7 linked regions of the Rattus norvegicus genome follow. The protein of the gene in region 1 interacts with the protein of each later gene in a biochemical or structural test. Links are inferred from orthologs where the notes say so. Each region holds a gene or a part of one and is shown in the gene's direction. Other genes may lie near its edges. The genes, in order: Nedd4, Scn5a, Ube2e1, Pparg, Gabarap, Ndfip2 and Map3k2.

Region 1 (3,802 bases):
CCTGATTCTTCCAGCCCCATGACCCCGAAATAAGACTCAGACTCAGCATACATTTACATACATTTACATGGACCCTGGCCTTATAGTTAGGATCTTCTCTGAGGAGAATTAGAACTTAAGAGAACTTTATTCTGCCACGTGGCTGGTTACCTCTGCTCAGGTGCTGTGTGGCAGTCTCACTATATCTTCCTGGGCAAATCTTCCTGCTCTGGCTGTCTTGCACAGTTAGAATCTTACTGGGAAGTGGGGACAGAGGGCACAGTGAGACTAAGCTGGGGACTAGAGGAGCAGAAAAGAGCTATGAGCAAGTAGCTGTGCCTGTGGTGAGAATGAGTGTCTTCAGTCCTGAGTGGGGCTGACGAGGAAAACGCAGGAAATTAACAAAGGTGCAGTTGACTCACGATTGGGGACTTAGGCAGGATTACTGCAGGTCCCAGGCCAGGACAGGATTCAGTAGGTGAAGGAGAGGAGGAGGAGGGAGCAACAGAAGGGGTGAGGCCCGCTGAGGGGGCTCACCTCCTGCAGTGGGCCTGGCCAGGATGGGGGATGGGCTTCTGTCTGCCTCAGTCTCCTCAGTACGTGTAGAAGGAATGAAGAGGGAGGAGGGAGGATTTAACATAGCCACTTTGAGAAATAAAGACAGGACGGCCACATTAAGATCACAGTGAAGGGTTGTTCATGAAAGTATGCTGGCAAGATCTGTGTAGGAGTGAGTGTTCCATCCACAAGATGCTTGAGCGTGCCAAGCCTGCTAACCAGCTTTGGGCACATTCCTTTCCTTCTAGGGATTTTTTGAACTGATACCACAGGATCTGATCAAGATATTCGATGAAAATGAACTAGAGGTAACAACTGTTTGTGCTGTGCTTGGGAATGTAGTTCAGTGTTGAGCAGTCATGCAGGCCCTGAGTTCAGTCCTCAGTGCCACTGGTGTGGAGGCGAGGGCATGGAGGAGTGGGGAGGAAGGGAGAGTATGGCAGTTTGTGGAGAGAAAGTGGGGAGGAGGAGGGAGGGTGTGAAGCCGTGGGCGCCATCCGCAGCACGGTGTAGAAGGGTGTGGTGGTACATACCCATTAGCCAGCACTCGAGGGGTGGGAGCAAGACCAGTAGTTCATGTCATCCACAGCTACATTGTTTGAAACTAACCTGGGCTACAGGGACCCTGTCTTTAAAAAGAGAACTGGAGGGCCCACAAGATGGGAAAAGCACCCTCCACCAAGCCTGACAGCCCGAGTTTGACACCTAGAGTGGAGATGGACTCCCACAAGCTATCGCTAACTTCCTCACTCACAACATGACATAGACATGCTGCAATACATATAAACATGCAATAGAACAGGGCAGCAAAGAAAATGTTCTGTGTTAAAACAGCTTTGGCTGGATGTAGCGATGCATTCTTCCATTCCCAGCACTGAGGGACAGAGGCAGGTGACCCTCTGAATATGAAGCCAGCCAGGTCTATACAATGAATTATAGAACATCCAGAGTTATGTAGTAAGACCCTGACTCAGGAGAGGAAAAAACCCAGAGCTTTGCACCGGTTTTCCCTGCTCACAGTTCTGACTGCGTGTCTGTCTGTCTGCAGCTTCTCATGTGTGGTCTGGGAGATGTGGACGTGAACGACTGGAGGGAACATACAAAATACAAAAATGGATACAGCTTAAACCACCAGGTCATCCACTGGTTCTGGAAGGTAATCTGAGGTTCAGTCATACTACGCCACCTGTAGAGTGACTCTCAGAGTGTGTCGCACTCTGAAAAGTGCACCAGCAAAGCAGACAGGCCTCTAATTTTGCATAAATGCCTTTGAATGTGAGTCTACCCTTCTTGATATCCAGAGGTAAGTACGGAAGGCATTCAGAATCGTAGGAAATGAGCTGAAATAAGCACATCAGTTTTCACCAGTGTGAGGACTGTCTCGAAGAACTTGTAACATGGCTCTTCTAAATTCTTAGATATGTGACTTTTAGTAATATGTAATTATTGTAAAGGTTTTTTTTTTAAGTGTGTGTGTATACGTGGTTACATGAGTTTATGTCACATGTGTACAATACTAGTAGAAGCCAAAAGGTGTAAGATCCCCTGGACGTACAGACAATTGTGAACCAACATGTGCATGCTGGGAACTAAACCCAGGCCATCTGCAGGAGCCGTGAGCATTCTTCACTGCTGAGGCCCTCTCCATTTCTGAGGGAAAAGCCTTAGAAATAAGTTTTTTGAGAATAAGAACAAAACCTTAGTGATTATTCTCTAAACTCTAATGACTTTTGTTTTTCGAGATAAGGGTTCTCTGTGTAGCCCTGGCTATCATACTAGAACTCATTTTGTAGATCAGGCTGGCTCTGAACTCAGCGATCCACCTGCCACCACCACTGCGGGGTGGGGCTTGGGGTGTCAAATGGTTTTTCCAAGACAGTTTCTCTGTTATTTTCAGTACTCTTCTCTAGCAGAAGTCTTTCTGTTTTTCAGGCTGTTTTGATGATGGATTCAGAAAAAAGAATACGCTTACTTCAGTTTGTTACTGGCACATCCCGTGTGCCTATGAATGGATTTGCTGAACTCTATGGTAAGAGTCCTGTGTAGATTCTCAGAAGTGCACAGAAGCTGACTGTTATTTTCATAGCTGAAGAGTCTTTAAGTTTCTACCATTTCAAGTCTAGTTTAACTTTTAAAAATTTAGTTGAAGGCTTGGGAGACAACTTGATTGGTAGAGTGCCAGCCTAGACCAATTGGCAAGCTGCAGGTAGGTAAGAGACCCTGCCCTAAAAAGAAGTGGATGATGTCACTACCTTCTGTCACTACTACTATCTTGGATAGTGACCAAGAACCTGGCATGTGGCTGAGTTACTTTTCGCCGTTGAGCATTGAGCTGCGTTCTGTAGTCCCAGAAACAGCAGCACCTCTAGCCCAGTTCCTTCCTTCCCAAGCTTCCTAACGCTACAACCCTTTAATGCAGTTCCATGTGTCATGCTGACTTTCGTTGCTACTTTATAACTGTAATCTTGCTACTATTATGCATCATAATATAAACCTTTGTTTTCCAGAGGTCTTAGGTGACCCCTATAATGGGGTCGTTGCAACCCACAGGTTGAGAACCACTGCTCTAGCATACTGGGTGGAGACAGCAGTGAAACAGCGTTAGCTGACATCTATGCCATAGTAGCCTTGGAGGATACATAGACTACACTAAAGAAAGTCTAATTCCCTCTTACCCAAGGACTCTCTTCCTGCTGCTTCAGCTACCACAGACATTCAGTCCACAAATCCTAAAGGGCATTTCAATAAAGAGCAGAGAGCGTAGTCACACGCCTGATGTGAGGTGTGCATATATGCACACCTCCAGCAAACACAGATTAGGAAGAACTCAACGATTTCTTAGGAACTTGTTAAAAAAATAAAGTTAAATTAAGAGTAAGTTTTCCCAAGCTTTCTTGAGCAGAGAGTCCTTTTGTGATTTGGTGTGAGGTGTGGGTAAAGCTTCATTCTTGTGGAAGATGGGGGGATCCCAGATAAGATCACACATAGCTCCCACTCTCCTTTCCTTTTATTTTTCATTTTAGTTTATATGTAATCGTGTTTTCCCTACATTTATGTCTTTGTACCATGTGCTTGCCAACGGAGGCTAGAAGAGGATGTCAGATCCCCCAGTGCTACAGTTATGGGAGGTTGTGAGCCACACAGTGTGGGCTCCTAGCAGCTGAGCTCTCTCCAGCCCCAGGACTAAAAGTTATAGTGGGATCTGATCATAGAGGACAAAATATAGAAAGTTACGCCTCTTGAAAACCTTCTGGCAATGATGCGT
Region 2 (4,243 bases), about 46 Mb from region 1:
AGCACCCTTTGAAGGCTTTACCTTCCCAGAGTACTTGTCTCCTAGCAGTTTGACAATACTGCAGAGAAATCAAACCTCGGGACAAAGGACAGAGTGGGTGTCTGTGTGCACCTCTGTGTTCCTGTGATAGCCCTGGACACTGAGTCGCTCAAAATGTCCTATGGTAGTGGCCTCTCATGTTTAAATAAGGGAGATGTGGGTCTGTGGGTCTTTCTGTCTGTACAAGCGAATGTATGAAGCTGGACCAACATGTGCACGGTTGTCTGTCCACGTGTATGAGTGTCTGTGACGGTATTCTTGTAGGACAGTCAGTGCTCCTGTCAGTGTGGGACTTGGTATCCCTCTGTGGGTCAACTAGAAGGCTGAACACGGGTCAAGAGGGTGAGTGTGTGGAGGTATTCGTGTCTGTGGGTTTGCTAGTGTTTGCTGCTAGTGTGTTTGAAATGGAGTCTGGGGGTGTGTTTGATTTCTGTCTGAGTTCATGTGTCAGCATGGCCATATAAATATCTACAACGCATGGGTCTATGTACTGTCATTCTATCTCTAGAAATGTGGCTCTAAGTGTTCGCATGTCAGTGTGTCAGTGGATGTATCTCTAAGTCACGTGGTATAATTAGGTTTATCAGTGATTGTTCCTCAATGCCAGTGTATGTCAGTGGTGCCTGTCTGTATGTGTATGTCCATGTTCATATGTGTGTTGGTATCTGTATCTGTGTGTGTGTGTGTCAACGTAGGTGCATGTGTGTCAGTGTGTCTCAGCATGGATGTCAGGTCCTGCCCATGTCCATGTACGTGAATAAGTGTGGATAAGTGAGGTTTGGGTTAGGGTCCCCATATCATCGAGGAGGGGTGTGTCTGTGTACTTTGGCTTGGGCGACGTGTGTGCCAACGTTTGTCGGTGTGTGCCGGTCCAGGTCTGCGTGGGTGGCTCTCTGTAGCGAGGCGTCCGCAGGTCGGCGTGCGTCCGCGTGTCTGTCTGTCCGTGTCCGCGTGGGCGGCCGTCTCCAGCAGGGCGCACCCGGGGTCAGAGTGGTGGGCGTGCGCCCCGCCGGGCAGGGTGGCTCTCCCCGCGAGCCAGGCGGGCGCAGCGCCACGTGCGGAGCCCCGGGCGCGTCGCTCTGGGGCGGAGCCAGCCCGGGGCCCCGGAGCCCCAGGCCGAACCCAGGCGGGGCCCGCCCCCGACCCCGCCCCCAGCCCGAGCCCGCGCCGCCCGCCGAGCCCGGGAGCCCGAGCCGAACGGCGGAGCCGAGACGGCGGCGGCGCCCGTGGGATGCGGGGATCGCGCCCCCGGGGCCGCTGAGCCTGAGCCCGCTGCCCCAAGCCCTACGCCGAGCCGAGCCCGCACCGCGCTGCAGCCGCCCACCCCGGGGCGCGGGCCGGGGACCATCAGGTGAGCGATCACCCCCTGTGTCCCGCAGCCCCCCGCGCCCCTCCGTCCGCCGCCGCCGCCCAACTTTCCTCCCCGATGGCCCGGAGCCGCCCGGCCGGGTCCCCAGCCCCCGCAGCCGCTGTCCCCGAGGGGGGAGGGGCGGGAGAGGCGCAGGTGGCCCGGGCCGGGGTTCCCCTGTTCGTCTCTGATCGCCGCGGGTCTCCTCCCGTCCCCTCTCCTTCCGGGTTCCCCGTGCGCTGTCGAGGGCCGGGGGATGGGGAGCTTCGGCCCCAGCTCCGGGACCATCGCTGGCGCAGACTCGCCAATGGGCTGAGATTGGGACCCGGATTCCCGAGGCCGGAGACCCCAAGGTCAGAGCAGCGACAAGGCGCGCGGAGAATGTGGCTCTCGAGAGCTGGGGGTGAAAGGGTTGAGCGGGCACTGACCAGGACTAGGGAGCAGGCCGAGCGCTCGTTTTCCCTGGGCCCCGGGGGTGGAGGAACTCGGCACCCGGGTTGTGCCCTCGGTTAGACGAGATCGCTGCACCCTTGCAAGGAATCTGTGCACTCTATTGGGGGTCAGATCTAAGAGTGCGCCCTGTCTTTGGGCGCTCCCACTACGCCGAGATCTTGGTGCCCTGTTGTCGCCTTGAAGCGGTCGGATCTCCTCTTGTCTCTGTGCGCTCGGAGAGGGGAGAGATCTCTGGACTTGGAAATTCGGCAGAATTCTTTACCCTCCTTGCTTTGACCTGGACAGACTCTCGCACCCGGACAGGAGAGGGCTGAGGTCCCCGACTTCTGTGTTATTTGATCGTCTTTGGAGGTGCCTTGAGAGGAAGTGGAGGTGCCTAGCCTTGTTTGAGTACTGGTGGGGACAGTGATGTGGTGGGGACTGGTAACCGTGGTGCTCACGATGGGAGGAAATGCTCAGGATGAGGCCTGGCTGTAGACAGGCCTTCCAAACACCTGTTGGAGGGCAGCTTACACGGAACAGCCGTGGTACTCGACCTAGTCTCCTTAGCGACTTCAGTCTAGTGGGATATGGGATCAGTGTGCCCTTGGGGACGTGAGTTGCCCCTTCCAGCAGTGACCCCCAAGCACCAAACAGAGAAGCACAGAACGGGCCTCCACAAACCCCAAACCTTCTGTAGATTCACTGTCATTCAGAACTAAGAACCCCCCAACCCTGCTCCCCGTGCAGCCCCAGCCCTGGACCACTCCTCCACTTCTCTACCTGTCCCTTCCCACTTAGAATCGGCTGGGTGCACATACATGATGGTGATAGCACAGGAGAGTGAACTGAAGGTGGGACAGACTGCTGCCACAGAAGCAAGACACAGCCAGATGGAGCACGGGACACTGGGTCTTTGCTAGGATGTTCAAGGTTCCGAAACTTTCACCACAACCACACAGGTACTGAGGCCCAGAGGAGTCAAGAACTTATCCAAGGTCACACAGAATCATTGGACTGGGGAGGACCCACAGGGTGAAAATCCCTTGGAATCTATTTCTTGGGGGTCCAAATTTGACCTAGAACCAACCAAAGAGGGTCTAAACAGAAAGAAGAGTGGCCCTCAGGTGCTAAGAACCCCCCTTTCAAAGCCTGATGTGACACGGACAGCTGTCGCCCTCTAGAGAGCCTAGTCCCTGTGTGTGGTGGCCATCAGAACTCCCCTGGAAGACTTCCAGGGTTGACTCACTTGGCATGAAGAACAAGCATGGAGGAACAGTGGGAAGCACCAGAGACAGCTGGGGATGGGGGAGCGGAGGAGGCTGGCGCTGAGGCAATCAGTCCACAAAGAGGGGGCTCCTGGGGGCAACCTGCAGCCGTGAGGAACCACAGCCCCCTTTGCAGGACTCATTCCTGACCTTGAGAAAGCTTTCGGAAGAGTGCAGTGGCAGAGGCTTCTCCCCAGAAACACAAAAGAGGTCTCGATTTTGATTAAGAGAGTCGAGGCTGTTGTTCTAGCCTAGATAACCTTCCGCCTGGGTTTTGAAGCATGAACAGAAGTTTTCCGATTGAGGACGGTGCAGTTCAGTCACCAATCAATCAGCACAACATACAGGGGGATAAAACGACAGTTAGTAGAGCGATCTGTTGGGCCCCATGTTATGAGGAGGAACCAAGGCACGGTGGAGTGGGGGGGGTGTGCAAGCTCTTCTCATGAATTGGGAATTTATCCTCAGTAATGTTTCTAAAAATAGCTAATAGGCACTGAGTGCTTTCTGTAGACCAGGCCACACCAGGTGCTTCATAGGGTTCCTCTCCCAGAGTGTCCCAGGTCAGCCCGAGAGTGGGGACCTCAGTCACAACCATTCTGCAGATGATGAAACTAAAGGCCAAGAAGGGAGAGCAGCCGGGTCATGGCACACATCTCTCAAGTAGTCGGACTCTGCTGTACGGGGGCCTGTGCAGACTTAGAGAGCCCTTCAGCTGAAGGGGTGCACCAGGCAGGCCACTGGTGACACCCGGTGGTGTCATCCACGGAAAAACCTGTCACTGTGATACCCATGCCTTTCTGGGCACTCAGAGCTACCCACCCTTTACCCTGTATATACAGTGAGGGGCATGGGTGGGTGAAGTCTGAGTGGTCAACCTTTTCTGAGCAATTTGACTTCCATTGAGCATTAGAGGGAAGGCTCCGAGAAGGAGGCTTCCTGAAGGAGCTGGGTCTGGAGGTAGGTGCTCCAGAAGGGCAGCAGAGGCTGTTTGTTGGAGCCAGGGCTGCCTGGCCACCGGAACATCACTTGGGAAGCTTTACATAAAAACATCTGCTTGAAGCTCCGCCCCCCCCCCAGCATGCTAATTCTCCTGGTTCTGGGGTGGAGCCGGCAGTGTCCTTCTGAAAACAGAAGACAGGTGGTTCTGATGGTG
Region 3 (3,802 bases), on another chromosome or scaffold:
ATGATTAAAAGTAAAACACTAGAAAACAGACAATTCTTATCGCCAGTTATTGTCCTCTATAGCTGACCTTTAAACTTGAGTGTGTTCAAGAATCATACAGGGATCTAGTTAAAAAGTAAGTGGATAGGCTCTAGGATAGAGTCTAGTGTGTGCATTTCTAACCAAGCTGTGGGATGTTACTTGCTTAGGGACCACACTGATGGCAGGAATCCTGCCATATGCATTTCTTTTTCTACAGCACACTTGAGGGGTAAAGCGGTAGCTGTTTTGTAATCAGCTAAAACCATTTATCCTTTCTAAGCTTGACTTGAGCTGTGCTCACAATTGTCTCTACTCCCTGACCAACATTATTCAAGAATCCAAGGCAGGGCTTCCCAGCCTCAGGACTGCTGGGATCTGCGGCTGGTTTAATATGCGTTGTGCTTTGTCAAGTGCACTTCAGGGTGGTTAGTGCATCCCTGACCTCTACCTGCCAGGCACTAGAGTGCCCTCCATCCCAGCTGTAACAATCCAGAAGTGACCTCAGAGCTGGGGAAGGTCTGAGGCTGGCCTCTGGCCCTGGCAGTCTTCGCAGTCTTGCTCTTGGGGGACTGAGTCTTCACTTTTATGGAGTAGCAATCAGATCACGAATGTCAGAAATTGCTTGGGCTCTGTTTTGAAACATGGATATCAGGGCCCTTTTCTCTACTCTCACTTCCTGCTGATGTCTACCTGTCTACTTTCACAGTCCTTTTTTCAACCCTAGGAGCTCAGTGTTTTTCTTAAACAGATAATTGTGTTCTTGATTTTTTTTAAGTGTAATGTTGGGTGCGGTGGCTCCTGACTTCAGTCCCAGCGCTCTGGAGGTAGAGATAGATGGGTCTCCAAGTTCAAGGACAGCTTGGTCCGCATGTGCATGGAAAGTGGGTTCTGTCCACCACATTGACTCTTCAGTCTTGCCAGCCTGACAAAGAATAGTTCTAGATGGCAGTTTGGAATGGTGTTGACTGCATTTTAAAGGGCTTAGCTTTCCTCTATCAGTTTGGGATGAGGCATCCAAGACCTAAGTGCTAACAGTATTAGTGTAGTGAGGAACATTTCTTAATTTCCAGACAGATGTCTTGTTTCACTATCCTCAGGGGGCAGGTAAGAAGCTAACATTCTGGTGGTGAGGTCTGTTTTAAGACACTAAGCTCATATATGACTTCTTGACGTAACTGTCCCCAAGGGCCCAATCTCCCTTCTAGTCACCATCCTACTGTAGGTTAAGCAGGGGACACAAACAAGCTAACCTTTGATAATTGAGAACCCATTCTGTTCTTAGTAAATGAAGCAGTAAAGGTAACATCTTTTTCCAGAGGAGTCAGAGTCTATTCCTAGGATAGGGCTGGTTAAGATATTGTTGGAGGCTGGAGAGATAGCTCAGCACTTAAGAGCACCCGATTCTCCTGCAGAGGATTCAGTCAGTTTCCAGCATCTGTGTCAAGCTACTCGCAACCACATGTCACTCCAGCTCCAGGGGATCTCATGCCCTCTTCTAACTTCTAAGATCAGGCAGTGTGTGCTGGGGGGCGGGGGGCATGCATGAGTGCACACACACACACTCTCACTCACTTACTCACTCTCTCACTACATAAATAGAAGTAAATCATCTTTTAATCTTTCCCTGTACTACACCTTGTGATTATAAAGAAAGCATTATACTCTCTAGGTCTCAGAATCGGAGGGTAAGCTTTTTCACTCTGTTGCTAAGGTGCTTGAATACAGAGCAGTGGAAGCCAATGCCATGTTTTAGAAGGATGATGTAGCCAAATGAAGGTACAACCAAGTATGTTTAACAAGAACGGGTTTGGTTAATGGCTAGTAAGAGTCCATGTCTAACACTGAGTGAGAACGGATTACGGACTTGACATTCCCCTCTCACTCAGTTTTTATAAGGTAAGAAGTATAGTCACCAACTTGGAATGACCCATGACCCAGCATTCATGGGAGCTGAATGAGGACTGTGACTTTCAAGACAGTCCGAGCTACTCTGTCTCAGGGGACCAGAAGTGGAGGAGTGTAACGTGATCTATAGCTAAAGCAGTTTTGAGTGTGTGTGTTTGTGTCCACATGTGTACACGAGGAGGCTGGAAATCAATGCTGTACGTCTTTGTGTAGAATTTATCAGCATCACCAGGGTCCAAACTTTGCTAAGCACTTTAATTAAGGAAAAGATTCTGGTTACTTAAAAGGTTCTAAGAAATGATGTAGCCATGAGAAAACTTGTCACTGAGTCAAAAATGAGGACATGATCACTCCTAGGTATGGTTGAGGAGGAGGTCTTATTGTAGATAAGAGGTGAGAACAGGCAGAGACATCTGGGAAGTCCAGACTGAACCTAACTAGCAGACTGGATGGGGAGGAAGGAAAGAAGGAAGGTGGGGCGAGCTGACCAAGAGGGAAACCGGAGGTGTGGACCAAAGGAGCCATAGCCAAGATAGCTGAGCAATGGCGAGAAGATGGGGGAGGTGGTTAGCATGGGGCCTGGTGAGAAGCGCTGGCAGGAGCCGGTTACTGAGTGAGACTTGTCCTGAGTTTCTTCAGAGCAGAGTAGCCAGCAGCTTAGCTTCCGAGACACGGATCTTTATTGTTGTTTCCCGTACTACGTCTGAGAGTTGAGGAAAGTGTGTCCAGCTGTAGCTAGTGTGTTTAGAGTGGACCTGGTGTTCTGTCATGGCTTACTTGACTGGTGGACAATGTCTTTATACCAAAATCTCCTTATGAAGAGAACCAGACATTAAACTCAAAGGATGAGGGGAAGGGGTTTTTTCCTTTTCTGGTCCAGCATCACCATGTCTTTATCTATCTGCTCGTGTGTTACTTCACAGTGCTGGTCCCAAAGGTGACAACATCTATGAGTGGAGATCAACCATTCTGGGGCCTCCAGGGTCTGTGTATGAAGGTGGAGTCTTCTTCCTCGACATCACTTTTACACCAGAGTATCCCTTCAAGCCTCCAAAGGTAAGGAGTCTCCTGTGTCTTCTCACATTTAACTGTCCTTGAGAAAGATTAAAGTTTTCAATGTACTCACAAAAGCCAGATTTCTTCCACGTGTGTGCTGCTGGCCACTGACGCCTCCTTACCCAGTCCCCTCCATGTTGGAAGAGCTGTGTGGACTGCGGTGCAGTCTAGATCTGCTGTGTAGGTCGGAAGAGCTTAGCTTCCTGCTGTGCAGTGTTTGCTAGTGTAAGTGAATGTGATGACTGGTGATTGGTCATAGGCATTTCCAGGGTAAGTACTTAAGATTGCTGTTTATAGCTTCTTAGACTTAATGACTCCGGAGCAGTGTGTTCCTTCCAGCTAACACAAGAGGCCAGCAGACAACCAACAACTTAGACCTATTGATGTCTAAACATTAAAACTAAGCCAGATGCTACTAGTCACACATATGTCATCCTACAGTCTGGAAGCAGAAGCAGAGGGGAGGATCAAAAGTTTGCAGCTAGTGTGGGGTACACGGCACCAGGATGGCCTGATGGAGAAGGGAGGAAGTGTGGACTGTTCGCCTCGAGCAGTGGTCACTGCTGTAGAGTGAGATGGAGGGGTTAGCCTGAAGTGTCCTAATGCCCCTACCTGATGCTGCTTAACAACTGCCTTACTTTTAGGTTACGTTTCGTACAAGAATTTATCACTGTAATATTAATAGCCAAGGAGTTATCTGCTTGGACATATTGAAAGACAACTGGAGCCCAGCACTAACCATCTCGAAAGTCCTCCTCTCTATCTGCTCACTCCTTACAGACTGCAATCCTGGTAAGACTGTAGTCACCTGCACTGTATT
Region 4 (4,076 bases), on another chromosome or scaffold:
TCTTCCACCTGGGACTGTGGGCCAGGACAACCACTGGCTCATTAACTCAGCCAGCTGAGAGCCCACTGGGCATCCATCCACTGGTGGCTCAGCGACAGCAGAGCACTGCTACTTCCTGGGCACAGAAGGAAAGAGAATGCAGTGCGACAGCACAAGGGAAGGGGGACTTAAGTGATAGTGTTTGGATCAAATGAGCCCAATCCTGTAACTATATAACTATCCAGCAATTGTGACCTCAGACGCTGAGAGCAGAGGTGGTCATAAGGTGCTATGGGGCTCAGAGTAACAAGATGAGGGCAAGAGAGGAGGGGTGGGGAAGAGGCATTCCACCCCACTGGTGCTCCTTTTGAAGAAGCAGCTGATATTACTACAAAGTGAGGAGGCTTCATGCGGTAGGCACTGAGTCTCTGTAGATTGTCTGATGGATCTAGATGTTGGAGGAAGTTGGAGTAGAAGTGCCTTGCTGCTGTTAGAGCAGAAGGATAACTAGGGAAACTGAGATGGGGGAGAAGGACAGTGGCAGATGAGAAGGATATAAAGATGTGAGTGAGTTTATGGTGAAGGGGGAAGAGCGGCCGTACTTAATAGAGTAAGCAACCTGCAGGGTTAACCTTAGGAATCAATGCAAGTTGCTGAATGTGTCCTAAATGTTGTAGATGAATCCATTTTTAGTAGGTCTTAAAGAGAAAACCCATAAATTCTAGCAAACACAGTAAGCTAAGAGTACAAGAACCAAAACACAAACCCTTTACTCAGAAATTTCAAAGCAGCAGGTATGGTAGAGCACACATTTGATCCCAGCACTCAGGAAGCAGAGGCAGGCAAATCTCTGTTCTAGGACAACCTAGTTTACATAGTGAGCTCTAGGCTAGCCAGAACCACATAGTAAGACCCTGTCTTGAAAGAGATTGGGGATTTGGGGGGGGGGAGAATTTAAAACATACTTCCAATAGCTCTTGGGTTAAAAGATAATAAAGCCAACATTCTGAGATAGGCTATTCTAAAAGAACAATGAGAGCCTGTTCCTGAAGGCCTGTGGGATGAAACCAAAGTGACACTGGGGGAAAATTTAGAGCCCTAATGAGCTCATGAGAAATCCTAAAACTAAAAGAGCAAAGCACTCAAATCAAGAAGTTAGGAAAGGAGAGGAAAAAAAAGGAAAGAAAGAAAGATGGAATATATTTATTTTTAAAGGAGTTAAACATTGAAAAAATATAACTTTAAGTTGATTAATAAAACTAAAGGTTATATTTTAATGAAAAAAAAAATAGGGGGCACAGCTGAAGAGATGGCTCCGTGATTTAGAGCACTGACTCTTCTCGTAGAGGGCTCAGATTCAATTCTCAGCACTCGCCAGTAGTTCACCCCCATTGGAATCTGATGCCTTGTTCTGACCTCCAAAGGCAGCAGGCCTGCCTGTGGTGTGCATTCCTACATGCAGACAACACACAAAAACTAAAATAAATAAGGAGCATAGAAAATCTTAAAGAAAAATAGATCTTTTACAAATAAAATTTTAAAATGAGAAAGCACGCAAAAAGCATTGAGTTAAGAAGCATAAAAAGGGCAGATTCCATTAGTTTATAAAAAGGGAGAAGAAAACAGAAGAAGGACTGGTTGAAGAGTGAAAGTATTCTGCTGGGCTGGGAGGGGGCCATGAGGGCAATGGGAGGGAATATGGTCAAAGTGCATGCAGTGCGTGTATGGAAATGTCATGATGAAATCCACTCACCATTATGCACAATTTTTTAGTTAATAAAACCGTTTCAAGATATAATAAAAATAGATTCCAGATTATACTAGAATATCATGTACAACTTCATCCTAAAGAATTTATTTGTCTTACTTTGTACATTATAAAAAACCTAGGTGGATGAAAAGTAATACAAGAAAAGTCAAAGGTAATGAAGGACTTGTTACCACGGCCAGAGGGCTCTTCAAATGAATTCCAAGAAACCTCAAAGGGGCAGTTAAAACTGAAGGGAAAAAACTAACAAACAAACAAAACAAAACAAAACAAAAACAGCTCCACTCATAAGGCTGGTTCCCAGTTACTACCCAAACAAGCAATGGCTGGCTCAGATGGTAACACTCCTGACCACATCACCCACAGATATTACGAAGCCCCAAATAAGCCCTTAACAAATGAGTACAAGGACATAAGGTGTCTGTTAATGTAATCCGCTACATTAGGTTAAGATAAGATTGCATCTTTTCAGATTTCACATCTCTTTAGATAGAAAATTTTAAAAGCCATCAATAAAATTTAACCAACATTCCTGACTAAAACAAATTTAAAACTTTAAAATACCTGGAAAACCAAATCAAATCATATTCACCACAATCTACAGCAAATGTCACACTTGTGGCAAAGCAGTAGCTACTTGCTTCACGGTCAGGTAAAACTGACACAAGGGTTTCCTAGCAAGTGGTTCAGAGGCTACCCTGCAGAGAGGGGAGCATCCCTCCAAAGTGCAGCAGTCCTTTATCTTGCTGGAAATGGGATGTGCTGTGCTAAGCAAAAAACAAGTGTAAGCAAGGCTTACACTTGAAAATCTTATTTGAAGCTGTTATGAGAATGTAGGTAGAAGTTATAAAAACAATCATCCAGAAGGAGCAAAGATTGGAAATGTGATTTCAGAGAAGAGAAGCATGTTGACAGAGAGGCCTTGGATAGAACACCTTGGGATGCCCCTGATGGTGTCACCGCACTTAGTCCTGGCTGGGAAGGGCTGGAGCTTTTGATTCCATCCTTAGGTCTTGCCATTAGCTGCAGAGTTTTACTTCTCAAACCCGCTTAAGATATATGGCAGAGATGGGGCCTTGGCTCTGCGGTGGAGCATGCGCCCAACAGCTCAAGGTCTGGGTTTCACCTCCAGCCCGGAGAGGGAGCCGGGAGCCTGAAGCTGCACAGGTTAGAGCCAGCCCAGAGGTCTGATGAAGCCTCTTTCTCTTCTCGTTCTCCCAGACCGCCCAGGCTTGCTGAACGTGAAGCCCATCGAGGACATCCAAGACAACCTGCTGCAGGCCCTGGAACTCCAGCTGAAGCTGAACCACCCGGAGTCCTCCCAGCTGTTCGCCAAGGTGCTCCAGAAGATGACAGACCTCAGGCAGATTGTCACAGAGCACGTGCAGCTACTGCATGTGATCAAGAAGACGGAGACAGATATGAGCCTTCACCCTCTGCTCCAGGAGATCTACAAGGACTTGTATTAGCAGAAAAGTCCCAGTCGCTGACAAAGTGTTCCTTCTATCGATTGCACTATTATTTTGAGGGGAAAAAAATCTGACACCTAAGAAATTTACTGTGAAAAAAGCATTTAAAAACAAAAAGTTTTAGAACATGATCTATTTTATGCATATTGTTTATAAAGATACATTTACAATTTACTTTTAATATTAAAAATTACCACACTATAAGATTGTTTGTGGTATTTAAAGAGTGGACGTATGCCTCCCATTCAGCCATCACAGATTTGGGGAAGGATTTCCCCCATTTTATTTCTTTTCTTCTTTCTTTCTTGTTCATTCTTTGACATGCATGTGTGCTCGTATGTATGTTTATGTGTGGGGGTGCTGTGCATGTGTATGGAGGCCCAGGGGCAGCTCTAAAGCTGGCTCCTTCTCAGGACTGTCACCTTCCCACTTTGAGACAAGGTCTTTCATTGGCCTAGAATCAACCAATTAGGTTAGACTAGCTGGTCAGTGAGCCCTGAGGAGCCTCGTGTCCCCGCCTGCTCATTGCTACCCTGCCTAGCATTTTTAGATGAGTGGAGGGGAGGGGTTGAACTCAGGTCCTCATGCTCTCTAGGCTTCACAAGAATCCAAACTTTTTCCATGACTCTAACAGAATCTTCACTTATCACCAGCAACCCGTTTAACATGTGGTCATCCCTCCATAATCATGGGGTCTGGTGCCAGGTCTCCTCCCGAAGGTACCAAACCCCACAGGTGTTCACATTTTGATAACACGATATGTTGCAAATAAACTACGCACCCTCCCCCTATCATTTGAACTCTCTGTAGATACCTACGCTGCCTAACACATTGGCAATGTAGTGAGCTGTATTGCAATA
Region 5 (4,569 bases), on another chromosome or scaffold:
TAGTCCACCAACGCAAGTTCCTGTCATTCCAGGTTCACTGCTGATGTCCGATCGGTGCTGAGCCGAAACCTTCACCAACATAGGCTCTGGTGACAGCTGCTCCCCCTCCACCTGAGTTGGGGTGGAGGGGAAAGGGAGGGAGAACTCTTCGGACGGCCGTCTGTAGCCCTGTCCAGTGTGAGGACTGCCTGGGCAGAGTCTGCTCCTCCCGCCCCTCTCTGCCCTGGGAGCCCTACACTCCGCTTACGGAGTCAGGATGGACACATGGGCCAGACTGTGAAGCAGCCTCACTCTTTGTGTTCACACTCCGTGGAAATGCCAGACTGGGACAGGCGAAGGCCTAGGGGAACCGAAACCGTCTGGTGAAGAGGCAGGACTGGCCAGAGTGACAGACATATCCCAGAGGCTCAAAAGAAGCCAATTCAACTTTGTTGTGATTTGATTTTTTAAAAACTCTTATACAAAACTGATCTAATTCTTCACTCCTGCTCCAAGGGCTGGGCTGTGGGTGGGGACTGGGATTTCGGGCCACTGGATCTTCCTCAGTCTTGTCCCTTCCTTACTTTTCCTCATTTTTTTTCTTTCCCCAACCCCCCAATACCTGTAATCAGCTCCTTTCTTCCTTCCTCTTTTAAACCATGCATTATAACTTTGAAACCAAAGCTGCCCTAGATCCTTCTCTGATGTTTTTGGAGGGAACTTTGTTACATTTGCTCTGCCTCTGAAGCAGAGGGGCAAGATGCTGTTTGGAGTGCGGAAGTGGGATTCAGCACAGGGATAAAGTAATTTATGCCGGTGTTTGGCTGGAAAAGCCCCACTGACTGGATAGAGTCCCTGATGCACAGTGGAAGAGCAACTTTAGGACATAGAAGGCTGAAGAGGAAAAAAATCTAGAACCCTCGAAGGGCAAACAGCTGGAGAAAGGCTGGGCTTGACTGGGAAGTTGACGTGGACAGGCTGAGAGGGCGCTGCCTACGAGCTGTTGGCACTCCGGCAATAACTTGGGGCGGAGCCCTCTTTCCTGGCACCTCCTCTCCAGAGCCGGGACTACATTTTGGCCCTCGCCACGTGATTCTCCGCCCTTTTCTGAGGTCACATGATTTTGTTTGCAACACTCCGGGATGTGTTCCTCCGCCCTGATATAGTCCCTATCTTTGGGATTTTTGCAGTTTCTATTGGTCCGCCTGAGTCTTGAGCCTTCGCTGTGTCTGCAAACCTCTTTCTTCTCCGTCTTATGGTATCCTTATTCACACCTTGGGTACTACTTTGTTTTGGTGTCAACGGCCACCTTCAGCGTAGCAACACGTTTCATGAATATCTAGACTTGTAATTGCCTTTCCCTAACGTAATTTCCGAAAATAACTGCAGAACTAAATCTCACGACTGCCACTTAGTACCACTCTCGTCCTCTGCTTTGTACTGTGGGGCTACCTGGGGAAGGATTTTTCAGTTGACTTGAAACGACAGCAACCTTATCTGCGATGTCATACGCGTAACTCACAAATTGATTCCAAAGCAGTTACGCTGAAGGCGTAAGAGGACGGAGCAGCGGGTTGCGCTAGCAAGCTGAGCTCGTGGTGTATGTCAGCAGGCGGGGCCGGTCCGGACGGTCGGGGGCGGGGTTGGTGAATAGGGAAGTGGCGCAAATTCGTGGATCGCTCCGCTGAGTCTGTTCGTCGAAGCCGCCTCCGCCGCCGTCCCCTGTCCCGGCCCCCCCCCTGGGTTCCCTCAGCCCAGCTCGGTCCAGCCCGGTTCTCGGGAGAATGAAGTTCGTGTACAAAGAGGAGCATCCGTTCGAGAAGCGCCGCTCTGAGGGCGAGAAAATCCGAAAGAAATACCCAGACCGGGTCCCGGTAAGGACTAGCCAGGGCCGACGCTAGCGTCGCTGACGCTGTCGCCACAAACTAGGCTTGAGTCTGGGAAAGCCGAGGTCAGACTCCAGTCTGCCTTGAGGTTAGAACTCTTGTCTCTGGTACCAAGGGCGAGAGGTCTGAAGAAGTAGAGCTGGGAGTGCGATGTGGACGGGAGAGAGTGAGACCTGGGAATTTCTCAGAATGGAGGCCTTAGTGAGCTTGACAACCAGAGTTTCCATGGCCATGCTCCCAAGTAGCTAGATTTAAGGTAGATTTTTTTTGACCTAAACAAGTTATCCTGTATTCACTGATGAAAATAGTTATTGTGATGAACCGTTCTGGGATCAATTCTCAATATTTAGGTAAGACAGTGAGGCCAGGATCTCTGGACCTAATGTTGATACACCACGCATGTAAGGATAAATATTATTAAGAAATGAGATTGCAATAGGCTTCAGTACAAGGAAATATTGTACCTTGAGTTCTTCATCGATATAGCTGTACGTTTTTTAAAATCTCATTCGTACCTTCCTTTCATCAGGTGATAGTGGAAAAAGCTCCCAAAGCTCGGATAGGGGACCTGGACAAAAAGAAATACTTGGTGCCTTCTGATCTTACAGGTGGGAGCTTGACCCATGGTGTATGTTTCTTTCTGTGGGTGGGCCTGCCATCTCTGTGGGAGGAGGCTTCACCTGGCAGCTGTTTTCTGGTGGCACCTACGATCTCTTTGACTTTCTTGTATCTCCTGTTTTTGGGCAGTTGGTCAATTCTACTTCTTGATCCGGAAGCGAATTCATCTCCGTGCTGAAGATGCCTTGTTTTTCTTTGTCAACAATGTCATTCCACCCACCAGTGCCACGATGGGTCAGCTGTACCAGGTATAGTACCATGGCCGTGTTTGGAGAGGAAAGAAAAGGTCAGCAGTTCCTGTTGGCTTACTAGCTTTAAAAGGTCAATAAAGTCCTGGGTTGGGATCTTAATAGCAGTGGGAGGAGAGAGGGTATGAGCTGGTGGAGTTGTTTTGACTGGGACTCTTACTACCTAAGGAAGTCTCTTTCCCTTATCCAAGAGTCCCAGATGTCAAAAAAATAGTTTGAGGAGTGGTGGTGTTGTTGGTTTTGTTGTTGTTGTTGTTGTTCTTTTTTCTTTCGGAGACAGGGTTTCTCTTTGTAATCTTGGCTGTCCTGGAACCCCCTCTTGTAGACCAGGCTGGCCTCTGAACTCCAGAGATCCACTTGGTTTTGCCTCCCTTGGGCTAGGCTTAACAAAAGGTGTGTGCCACCACTGCACTAAAACTTGACATGTAGACCAGGCTGACCTCAGGCTCAGAGATCTTCCTGCTTCTGCTTCTTGAGTGCTGGTATTAAAGGTGTTAGAAGTTCCAGTCCTGAATAACGACTGATAATGGTGCACACCTTTGATCCTCTAAGTCCAAGCACAGTTTTAATCCGATCCAGGCTGCTGGATTTCTTGGAGTTTGAGGCTATCCTAATGAGTCAGAGATACTTAGTGAGACCCTGTATCAAAAATAAGAAGTAAAAACAAAATAAAACAAATCAAAAACACCTTCCCCCCCAAATTAAAAAAACCCACAGAACCACTGCACGTTGGGTGTGATCATGCCACAGCTTCAGTCCCAGCGCTCCGGGAGCAGAGGGAGGTAGATCTCTGAATTCCAAGGTCAGTGTGCTCTACACAGGGAGTTCCAGGGCTACATAATGAGACCCTATCTCAAAAGCAAAACCTCTAAAAGATACCCCCACCCCCACCCCCACCCCACAGAGCAAGCAAACCCTTGAGAGGCTGAGGCAATAGTATCAAGTTGGAGGTCAATGGCTGCATAGTATAGTGAGTTTGAGGTCAGTCTTTTTCTTTTTTGTATTTTCCAGACAGGGTCTCTGTGTAATAGCCTGGTTGTCCTGGAGCTCACTCTGTAGACTAAGCTAGTCTCCAACTCACAGAGTTCCTCCTGCCTCTGCCTCCAAAGCGCTGGGATTGACGGTGTGTGCCACCACTGCCCAGCCAGGGTCACCATTTCCTAAAGGAGCAAGAGAATAAGGACAGTCTGCTTTTCTCTTATTCCTTTTGTACTAAGGAGCATGTCTGGTACCTACAAATGCTTATGGATGATCTGTACCTGTAGATCTATTTTGAGTCAGGTTCTTAAGTTGCCTTGGTGGCCTTGAGATTTCCGTCCTTCCTGCATCTGGAATTACCAGGCCATGCTTAAAATGATTCTTGAGGAATGTATTGGTGATAAATGGTTGGAGTAATGAGTTGCCTTAAACCTCCTTTTTGCTTTTACTTCAGGAACACCATGAAGAAGACTTCTTTCTATACATTGCCTACAGTGATGAAAGCGTCTACGGTCTGTGAAGTTGCTGTCCCGGAGGTGGGGGTTCCATTCTACAAAGAGAGGTGGCGCTCCTTCCTTGGCATCCAGTTCCTCCTTCAGGCTCAAACACCATCTCCTTTCTTCAGGACCTGCACTTAATGTTTGAGGCTGTCTCTCCAGTCCCTCTGAGCAGGAGGGGTAATGGTAGATGCAGCCGCTGTACATCTCTCTTTCCCCTTGTTTACCCTCCATTCCCACTCTGCTTTAGACTTCTGGATTGTCGATCTCTGTCACATCGGATGATTGTTTTGGTTTCTATTCCCTTTCTAACTGCCCACTGGGCTCAGAACCCCAATAAACCCTTCCTTTCACTACCTTCTT
Region 6 (3,802 bases), on another chromosome or scaffold:
AATTGCGACTTGTAGAATATGCTGGATTTATGGCTACTTGATACAATCCAAAGTTATTTGAGAAGAAGGAACCTTAATTAAGAACATCCCAGAATAAGATCAGCCTGTAGGCCATTTTTGTAATTAGTGATCAGTAGGGGAGGGCCTAGCCCATGTGCTCCTGAGTTCAAGGAAGCAGGAGGAGAGCCGTGCGGAAGGAAGCTGGCAAGCAAGCTGCACCCTCCATGGCCTGTGCATCATGACCTGCCGTTTGAGCTCCTGTCCTGACTTCGGCGATGACCCATGGGGTGAAGTTTATTTGCTTAGTAACCGATAGATCTGCAGACAGCAAACTGCGCGGTCTCTAAGAGCAGCCCACGTATAAAGTTAAAATAAAGTGGTTTCATTCTAGCAGTGAATGAAGTATTGTTATTACTATGTTTCTCTTTATTTGTGTAGGAATTATGACCTTAAATCATATTTCTGTTATTTGCAGTGGCATTCATATTCAACTGGCTTGGATTCTGCTTATCCTTCTGTATCACCAATACCATAGCTGGAAGATACGGTGCTATCTGTGGATTTGGCCTCTCACTGATCAAATGGATCCTTATTGTCAGGGTGAGCATCTCGATGGTTTCCTCCTTACCTTCTACCATATGGATTTTCAAGTTCATTAGACTTGGTGACAAGTGTCTTTACATAGTGAGCCATTTCTGCAGTCTCTCCTGGGTTTTTCAAGGATGGACCTAGAAGGGTGATCAAGGGTAGCTTTATTCATTGTGTCATGTTGTCTGCGAAGCTGTGTGTCTACCACTCTAAAGCCAGTGCGCTGGGAGAATGGAGCCTGAAAATGAGGAGGACTAAAGTCTTAATGCAGTAACCAGCGTCATTCAGTGTCAGAGTTTATACTTTGAGGCTTAAGAAAAGTCAGATGAGTAAAGTGTGTAATCACAAAGACAAGCCACACGTGGCAAAACCACGTTTATCCATAGAGGCATACGGATACTCACTCCTGTCCACTACACCTGGGAGGAGCACGGAAGCATACTGTAAGAGCAGTTCTGTGTGTGACGAAACCGAGATCACAAGTCTGTTCACAGAATCTTAAATGTTACACAATTACTAGAGTATGTAAACTATACAAATAATCAGTACTTAGACATTGCTTTCTGGTTGAAAGAGCTAAATCTTGGCTAAAGTTGTCAATAGAATCACAGGTCTAAATGTTTGTTTCTGTTAAATGCTTCAGATGTTTTATTAATTTATTAACAAGTATAATTTATTAAAGTAGCCATTATACAAATATTAATACTCAGAATGATATTTTTATTAGTTTTGAACTTGTTTTATAGCTTTGATTCTTTTCACAACTCCTACACTGGTACATATCAGACTGTAGGTTTCTGACTGTTAATCTTTTGGGGTCTATTATAACATGATTGACGGTTGAACCATTATGAGAACTGTCCTCTGATAGTTTTTTGTTTTAAATTTACTTCAGATGATGTCCTGTGAGTTTCTACCATGAGCTTAAATCAGCTAGATGGTGTATATACACAGTGACAAAGCTACAATCCTCTTGCAGATTTTCTTGCTGGAGAAACTGAAAAGAGTTGAGTTACGTTTGTTCAGACTTAGCTGTATTAGAACTGTTGCTATTACTCAAATGGAATTTCTCATTGAACATAGCAAACAATTCAAACCTACTGTCTAAAGTTTCCTAAGTTGATGCTTTGCTAGCGTGATTCCTGGTACACAGAAAGGAAGTCCGTCCATCCGGTATGGCCTGTACCCTGGGGGTTTTAGAACCTCACTCTCATTGGCATTCTGCTTGCTGAGTGTCAGGTAACATGCGGAGTGCTGAAAACAGAGTTGTGGGCCTTTCCTTTTTTGTTTTCCACAGCTTCTAAGACTCTTAGGAAACTTCTCTTGAATATAAAGTGGTTTTTCAGTTATCGTTTTCTCATTGTGTGTCTTATATGTGGGAGTCTGCAGCAATGGTGGTTTAGATGTTCCAAAGGCTGGGATATTCAAACTCTTGTGAATCTTTAAAACTCTTAGCGTAGACCGTAGGTAATAGCTCTTGATTAATTTAAAATTCTTCCAAAGAAAGTACTTCAGAGGTTTTAAAGACATGTTTTGATAATCTTGATTTATATGCTTCCCAAGTTGCAACACCATGTATAATTTGTACTTTTACTATTACCAAAGCTGTAGATTTTTAAGCTCTTATAGAAATTACCAACAAATCATTGGAAATGCTTTTAATTAATTTCAGGTTCAAGCATCATTCTACCTTTTTTCACAATTTTTAGGTAAATTGGATTCAATTTGGAAATCAGTAGAAAGAAATCAATCAAAACTATCTTTTTTGTTTGTAACTTTTAGAATATGTTATCTGAAACACTTAAAAGTAATTATTTGGAGGCACTTTAAGATGTAGTGTGAGTTACCTGCTAAGGACGCTGCACTGATGTACTACCAGGCTCTGAGAGTGCAGTGTCTGCTCTAGAGAAGGCCCCTGTGCTCTCTGCTGTGAGGCCACCTGCTGAAGGCCCACCTCACACAGGACATGGCCGGCAGCAACCACTGTTGAAATGCCACTTCGAGGCTCATTTAGCTATTCTCCGCTCACTGTTGGGAGCTGAATGTCAGGCATCTAGTTTGAAATAAAAAGTTTCTAATGAGTTGGGGGGTCTTTCTGTGCCTAGTATTTTTGGCAGTGATTAACAGTAGGGGGTGTAACAGAAGGTCAAAAACTCTCCATTTTAGAGGTCACCAGAACATCCCCATCTGATAAGATTAACCTACTGTGGCTTTTGTGTTAATACCCAAAGCAGCAGGTGGCTCTGGCCCATTTGGGATGTGGCTGTGGCTTTGGGACTGCATAAGAAACTGACTTTTCAATGAAAAAAAAAAGTTTGATTCCAATAGATAACATTTAGGCATTTATCTTTTTGCAAGCAGTTTGGAGGTTTTGTTTATAAAGTACTTTACGGAAGTTTACAATCGCATAAGAATTTTTTCACCATTAAGTATTATTCCTGCCCTTTCCTTTTGTGCTGTTTTTATATGCTATTTTTAAGCATTAAAGATTATTTAAAGAGATAATTTATTCTGAAACCTAGGATAATACAAATATTCAAATGTAGTTATACAAATATGATTAATATATTTATGTTTACCCCATAGTTTTCGGACTATTTTACTGGCTATTTCAATGGACAATATTGGCTTTGGTGGATATTTCTTGTACTTGGTAAGTTTATTTTTTTATATTCCTTTTTATTTAATCTTTTATTTTTTTATACTACAGATTTACATTCCAGATCCCATACCTTCTCCCTGCCCGTCTCCTGAGGACGTCCCCTCCCCTCAGGCCTCTAGCCTCCCTGGGGCCTCCAGTCTCCTGAGGGTTCCGTGCATCTTCTCTGACTGACTGAGCCCAGAGCAGCGTTCCTCCTTAAGGCAGTACAGTTTAAAATAGTGTTTCTTTATTGCTCAGCTTAACTGCTAGTCCTAAAATTATAAAGTGCAAGTAAGTTGTGTTCCTTCCTAGTGTGCAGAACTAATTCTAGTGTAAAGGTTGCCCCCACTTAGCTCCTTAGCAACGGAGGGAACAGAGGTGCTGGGACGATAAGTAAGTGCTACAGAGTTTGAAGTTTCTACCTAATTAAAATAGTTATCTTTATGAATTATCTTAGGAAACACACGTGTATAATTTTAATGACAATGTAGCATGTAGGAGGGTTTCTGCATGCAATGCTGTCTTCTTGTTTTTGGATCACAGAAACCTTTGTGCTTTTGAAATGTGCCTTTC
Region 7 (4,328 bases), on another chromosome or scaffold:
AAAATTCTTACCTCAGCACTCTGTTTTAACCGGTGTTGAGTGAAGTCATCAAGTCTCTCTCTCTCTCTCTCTCTCTCTCTCTCTCTCTCTCTCTCTCTCTCTCTCTCTCTCTCAAGATGTGATTTCTCTTAGTAACCCTGGCTGGCTTTGAACATTTCTAGGTAGCTGGGATACAGGCATGATACCACCTCTGGCTGTCTGTGGTAATTTGTCTTGGAGCAACAGAGGACTCAGGTAGCATGCCTCTTGTCTGAAATCTTCCCTTACCTCCTCAGGCACATCTGTGACATTTTCCTTCCCACTGCTATGCCACCTGGTACCCCTGCCACTGTGAAAGTCGTCCTGGGTTAGAATTATCCTTTCTCTTCTCTTAAATTTATTTCTATGAGTATGGGTACTTACCAGCATGCGTTTTCACTTAGCTTCTACAGATATGGGGTAAATATCCCTGTTCTTCTGCAGTTGCTATCTCTATCATTGGATCTATAATGAAAATTCCTGAACAGAGATGCAGACGTTTTGATAGTATTCAACATTTGCCCCTTGAGCCTGTTGTCAGGCCAGCTACCTCGAAAGTTTGGGTCTCTTCTGACCCCTGGGCTTTGTGTGTGTCAGCTATACCATCTCTCTCATGTCAAATGCTAGGGTGGGAATGTGGTCTGCTCCAAGCAGGAAAAGGGATCAGACTGTTCTGATAACCAAGGAGGAACGGTACAGGAAATTATAAAGGGTATTGGAGGCTAGATGAGGCCGAAAGGGTGTTGGGTGGGTTTGCGTATTGTAAAGACCTCAGGATGCTGTCACATCACCGAGAGCCTCCAGAGCTATCTAGCTCACTGATTAATCTGTGTTTTATCTCTTGGGCCAAGAGGAGCAAGAGAAGGCGTTGGTGAAAGATTTCACTATGTTTTGATCCGGGCGTGTGATGTCAAGTCATCTGTGGTAAATTGGATAAGTAATAACCTAGTGGATCAACCAGAAAACACTTAAAACTAGCTTGCTACCAAGGCTGTGGTTTAAGGACAATACAGTGATTTCTAAAATCACCGCTTCTCCGCGATGCCGCTTCTTGCCTTCCGTACGAGTGGGGGTTGGTGCAGGGGAACCCTTTCCGCGTAACTCTGACGGCCAACATTATGCACATGCGCAAAACTCAGTAGTCCCGCTGCGCGCGCACCCCGTCTGAAGCCCTGGAAACGTCGAGCCGTCGGTGAGACCTGAGTGGGCGGAGCCGGGTGTGCTGCGCAGAGTAGACACTGCGCAGGCGCCTGCTAGCTCGCCTCAGCCGGGCGCGCGGTTGCGGCGGGTTCCGCTGTCGGCGGGCGGAGGGGTTGCGCGCACACGAGCGAGCCGCCGTGACGTGCGCCGCCGTGCTACGCCAGACATCACGGGTCTGTGTGTAGTGGCGGCCCGGCTGTCCTCAGCCGCATCGCCTGGCGAGGGTGGCGCGGCGTTCCTGGGTTGCGGGACCGGCGACAAAGAGGACCGACAGAGAACGATCTGGTCGCAGAGTCGCCGCTTCCGCTTAGCTGCTTCTCCGGTCACCCGCGACGCGGGCCCGGGGCTTCCTCCTCGTCGGCCCAGTTTACTCGGCGGGCCCCGGGGCTGCATCTACCCAGAAGCAGCGAAGAGGCCCCGGGCTGCGCGCCCGCTGTCCCATGTGAAGCAGGTTGGGCCTGGTTTCTGCTGCGGCCCTTCAGGCCTCGGGGACCCCGCGAGGCGCTGCTCCTGGGGGGCGCGGTGACAGGCCGTGCGGGGGCGGAGGGGTCAGCTCCGTGGCCTCCTCTCGGCCCTCCGCTCCACGATCCCCGCCCAGAGGCCGGTAAGTGTTTCTGGTTCAGCGTGCGACTGGGCCCACGGACGGGAATTCCGCTGCAGGGGGTGGGAGTATCGGAGGTGGGGATAGCCCTGCCTGGCTGGGGTTCACCCCAGAACCCCCAGGTCTGTGCGAAGTGGGCTGGAGAACTGTTAGACTCGTACTCCGCGGGAATTTTATTCTAACCAGAAGGTTGCCACTAGCTGGTCGAAAGGAAACTGAGACCGACGTGCTTTAAACCAAAAAAAAAAAAAAAAAAAAAAAAAAAAAAAAGGTGCTTGTCTTTGGGATGTCGGAGTGGCAGGCTGTTGATGGAGGTTGTTTCCCCTTACCTTGGAGCGGTCGGCCAGCTCTCCGCGTGCATATACTTTGCTCTTTTGCTTTTGACTTGTAGGTCAACTCTTCTCACCTTCCCAGCCCTGCGAGACGAGTATACATACATTCTACTAGCTTTAAAAATGAAAAAAAAAAAAAAATCAAGGCTCAGTGAGAAAAAGGTATAACTTCCAAGGTCATGCCAGTGGTTATCGAAGAAGTAGATATGTTTGTGTAGGGTCTTCGTTTCACCGTCCTGCAAAAGTTAAGTACGTTAGGGAAATGAGATTGGCTGAAGAGTTTGTCCCTGGTTGTAAATTCAAAACAGCTATCGAGATAGCGAGATAGTTCACATTTTTTGATTTAAGTTGCTGGATATATATTTTGTCACAGCTCATCCCCGTCGTTTAGTTTTCAAAGACATTACTTGTGGAAAAAGTGGTTCTGTGCGTCCTTATAGGTGTACAGGAAGATTGTACAGAAAACAGTTTACCATCTTACTGAAAAGAAGAAATATACTCGATGAAACTGCACATTTTTTCGAGGTTATGTTTTATTTTTGCACTTTGTTGTTAATGTGTGTAGGAAACTCACAGGTTATCTTCTTTGCCTGAGAATTCCTTCTTGCAAACTTGGTTGCTGGGTTATGTGGCAATGTCAGTATTTATGGTGACTTTTCATTGTCTTTTTTTTTTTTTTTTTTTGGTTCTTTTTTTTGGAGCTGGGGACCGAACCCAGGGCCTTGCGCTTCCTAGGCAAGCGCTCTAACCACTGAGCTAAATCCCCAACCCCTACTTTTCATTGTCTTAATGTAATATCTCAGGGTTTAATGTCAGAAGTCAATGTGTAAAATATCACGGAAGGTGATCATTTTGTTGGCATGGTTTATGTGTCTATGCAAGATGCTACTAATTAGTTGATAAGCTGACAGAAAATTCTCATTTTAGTGAGTAAGCAGAGCTGGTCCTCTTTACAGAAGAAAATGCTGATAAATGCCTTTCGAGTAATTGAAGTTTCATGTCACTGCAAATGCTCAATTATAACGCTCAAATTTCATTAGCATATCACACCTTGATGGAAACTTGTAGTTGACTGTCTTTGTAATAATGTGTAGGGAAGAGGTCACATTTACAGCGTTAACAGGTGAATGGCTTACAGGCTGGTTTGTTTGGCTAAAATACAGACGTTTGTTGAAGTAGGTTGAATTTGGTGTCATTGTAGAATGGTTGTCCAGTCATGTTCTCAGTGTGTCTGGTTGGAAAGACTAGCTGTCAAGAGCTTATCTTAAACGATGATGAATTGAGATGGAATCTTTTTACGTGGTGTTTTAGGTGGAGCGGTGCTCCCTAGCTGATGGCCGCCAAAGGGACAGACTTACGATAGTAGATGCTGCATTGCATTTAGTGTGCTTCTGCTTCTGTTTGTTTCCCGCTTTGGAAAACTGGAGAGCTTTGGGTCTCTCCTCTACAACTTTTTATCATGAAGGCAGTTTAAGCATAAAGAAATCTGTCAGCGGTAAACAGCTATATGGCGACCCTCTCCACTCAACGTTTGTTGATAGCTTGCTGTATTTAATGTATATTAGTTTTGGTTGAACCGTTTGAAGCTCAGCTGTTGACAGTATGTGTGTCAGCTTGCTTTGCCCAATGACAAGGGCACTTTTTTTTTTTTTTGGCATGGTAAAATACTGTTACTGTTCATTTTCTTCAACATGATAAATCCTTAGTTTAGTTAAAACAACACAAAAACTTATGTGTGTGTGTGCATGACTGTGGAGGTAGAGGGGGCACCTAGAACTAACGCTGCAGGTGGTTGGGAGCTACCAGATGGGTGCTGAGAACCAAAAGAGTCCTCTTCAAGGCAGCCCGTGCTGTGCTCCTTCTTAACTGATAACCCCAGCTCTCTCCTCCTCCTCAGTGTGAGCTAATACCACACATGTACATCTCTCACATTGTTGTGAGAAGGTATTTAGAGCATTGTACAGACTTTCTTACCCAAACCCGACTCTTTTCAGACCCTCCTTGTGAAATAACATAAGAGACCAAAAATTCAGCTATCTTAGCAAATGACTCACATTTTGCATTTGTCAGAAATTTTCCTTCCAGTGAAGCCAACTAGTAGGTCTTTTCTCTACCCTACTTACACTAGCTGTTGATCGTAAACTAGTTTTAAGGAGTTCAAGAACAAGAATGCCTGG

The links.
Region 2: the proteins of Nedd4 (region 1) and Scn5a form a complex in vitro, tested with the Homo sapiens proteins (3 studies listed by BioGRID, with this or other methods). The link is inferred for Rattus norvegicus from reciprocal best matches to the Homo sapiens genes NEDD4 and SCN5A.
Region 3: the proteins of Nedd4 (region 1) and Ube2e1 form a complex in vitro, tested with the Homo sapiens proteins (7 studies listed by BioGRID, with this or other methods). The link is inferred for Rattus norvegicus from reciprocal best matches to the Homo sapiens genes NEDD4 and UBE2E1.
Region 4: of the proteins of Nedd4 (region 1) and Pparg, one has a biochemical effect on the other in vitro, tested with the Homo sapiens proteins (2 studies listed by BioGRID). The link is inferred for Rattus norvegicus from reciprocal best matches to the Homo sapiens genes NEDD4 and PPARG.
Region 5: the proteins of Nedd4 (region 1) and Gabarap form a complex in vitro, tested with the Homo sapiens proteins (2 studies listed by BioGRID and IntAct). The link is inferred for Rattus norvegicus from reciprocal best matches to the Homo sapiens genes NEDD4 and GABARAP.
Region 6: the proteins of Nedd4 (region 1) and Ndfip2 form a complex in vitro, tested with the Homo sapiens proteins (3 studies listed by BioGRID, with this or other methods). The link is inferred for Rattus norvegicus from reciprocal best matches to the Homo sapiens genes NEDD4 and NDFIP2.
Region 7: the proteins of Nedd4 (region 1) and Map3k2 form a complex in vitro, tested with the Homo sapiens proteins (2 studies listed by BioGRID and IntAct, with this or other methods). The link is inferred for Rattus norvegicus from reciprocal best matches to the Homo sapiens genes NEDD4 and MAP3K2.

What each region holds. Positions count from the first base shown.
Region 1 is NC_086026.1:82,341,031-82,344,832, forward strand, and holds part of Nedd4 (E3 ubiquitin-protein ligase NEDD4), read left to right. Parts: intron 1-785; coding exon 786-845; intron 846-1,585; coding exon 1,586-1,693; intron 1,694-2,469; coding exon 2,470-2,566; intron 2,567-3,802. UniProt on the Homo sapiens protein: E3 ubiquitin-protein ligase which accepts ubiquitin from an E2 ubiquitin-conjugating enzyme in the form of a thioester and then directly transfers the ubiquitin to targeted substrates. Specifically ubiquitinates 'Lys-63' in target proteins.
Region 2 is NC_086026.1:128,193,475-128,197,717, reverse strand, and holds the start of Scn5a (sodium channel protein type 5 subunit alpha), read left to right. Parts: upstream 1-1,247; 5' UTR 1,248-1,390; intron 1,391-4,243. UniProt on the Homo sapiens protein: Pore-forming subunit of Nav1.5, a voltage-gated sodium (Nav) channel that directly mediates the depolarizing phase of action potentials in excitable membranes.
Region 3 is NC_086033.1:9,918,769-9,922,570, forward strand, and holds part of Ube2e1 (ubiquitin-conjugating enzyme E2 E1), read left to right. Parts: intron 1-2,849; coding exon 2,850-2,982; intron 2,983-3,626; coding exon 3,627-3,774; intron 3,775-3,802. UniProt on the Homo sapiens protein: Accepts ubiquitin from the E1 complex and catalyzes its covalent attachment to other proteins. Catalyzes the covalent attachment of ISG15 to other proteins. Mediates the selective degradation of short-lived and abnormal proteins.
Region 4 is NC_086022.1:150,217,688-150,221,763, forward strand, and holds the end of Pparg (peroxisome proliferator-activated receptor gamma), read left to right. Parts: intron 1-2,968; coding exon 2,969-3,216; 3' UTR 3,217-3,417; downstream 3,418-4,076. UniProt on the Homo sapiens protein: Nuclear receptor that binds peroxisome proliferators such as hypolipidemic drugs and fatty acids.
Region 5 is NC_086028.1:55,211,808-55,216,376, forward strand, and holds the start of Gabarap (gamma-aminobutyric acid receptor-associated protein), read left to right. Parts: upstream 1-1,657; 5' UTR 1,658-1,763; coding exon 1,764-1,853; intron 1,854-2,394; coding exon 2,395-2,473; intron 2,474-2,612; coding exon 2,613-2,731; intron 2,732-4,163; coding exon 4,164-4,229; 3' UTR 4,230-4,569. Other genes in the region: Ctdnep1 (CTD nuclear envelope phosphatase 1), read left to right, coding at 33-93. UniProt on the Homo sapiens protein: Ubiquitin-like modifier that plays a role in intracellular transport of GABA(A) receptors and its interaction with the cytoskeleton.
Region 6 is NC_086033.1:88,491,692-88,495,493, forward strand, and holds part of Ndfip2 (NEDD4 family-interacting protein 2), read left to right. Parts: intron 1-475; coding exon 476-600; intron 601-3,174; coding exon 3,175-3,241; intron 3,242-3,802. UniProt on the Homo sapiens protein: Activates HECT domain-containing E3 ubiquitin-protein ligases, including ITCH, NEDD4, NEDD4L, SMURF2, WWP1 and WWP2, and consequently modulates the stability of their targets. As a result, may control many cellular processes.
Region 7 is NC_086036.1:24,080,064-24,084,391, forward strand, and holds the start of Map3k2 (mitogen-activated protein kinase kinase kinase 2), read left to right. Parts: upstream 1-1,380; 5' UTR 1,381-1,822; intron 1,823-4,328. UniProt on the Homo sapiens protein: Component of a protein kinase signal transduction cascade. Regulates the JNK and ERK5 pathways by phosphorylating and activating MAP2K5 and MAP2K7. Plays a role in caveolae kiss-and-run dynamics.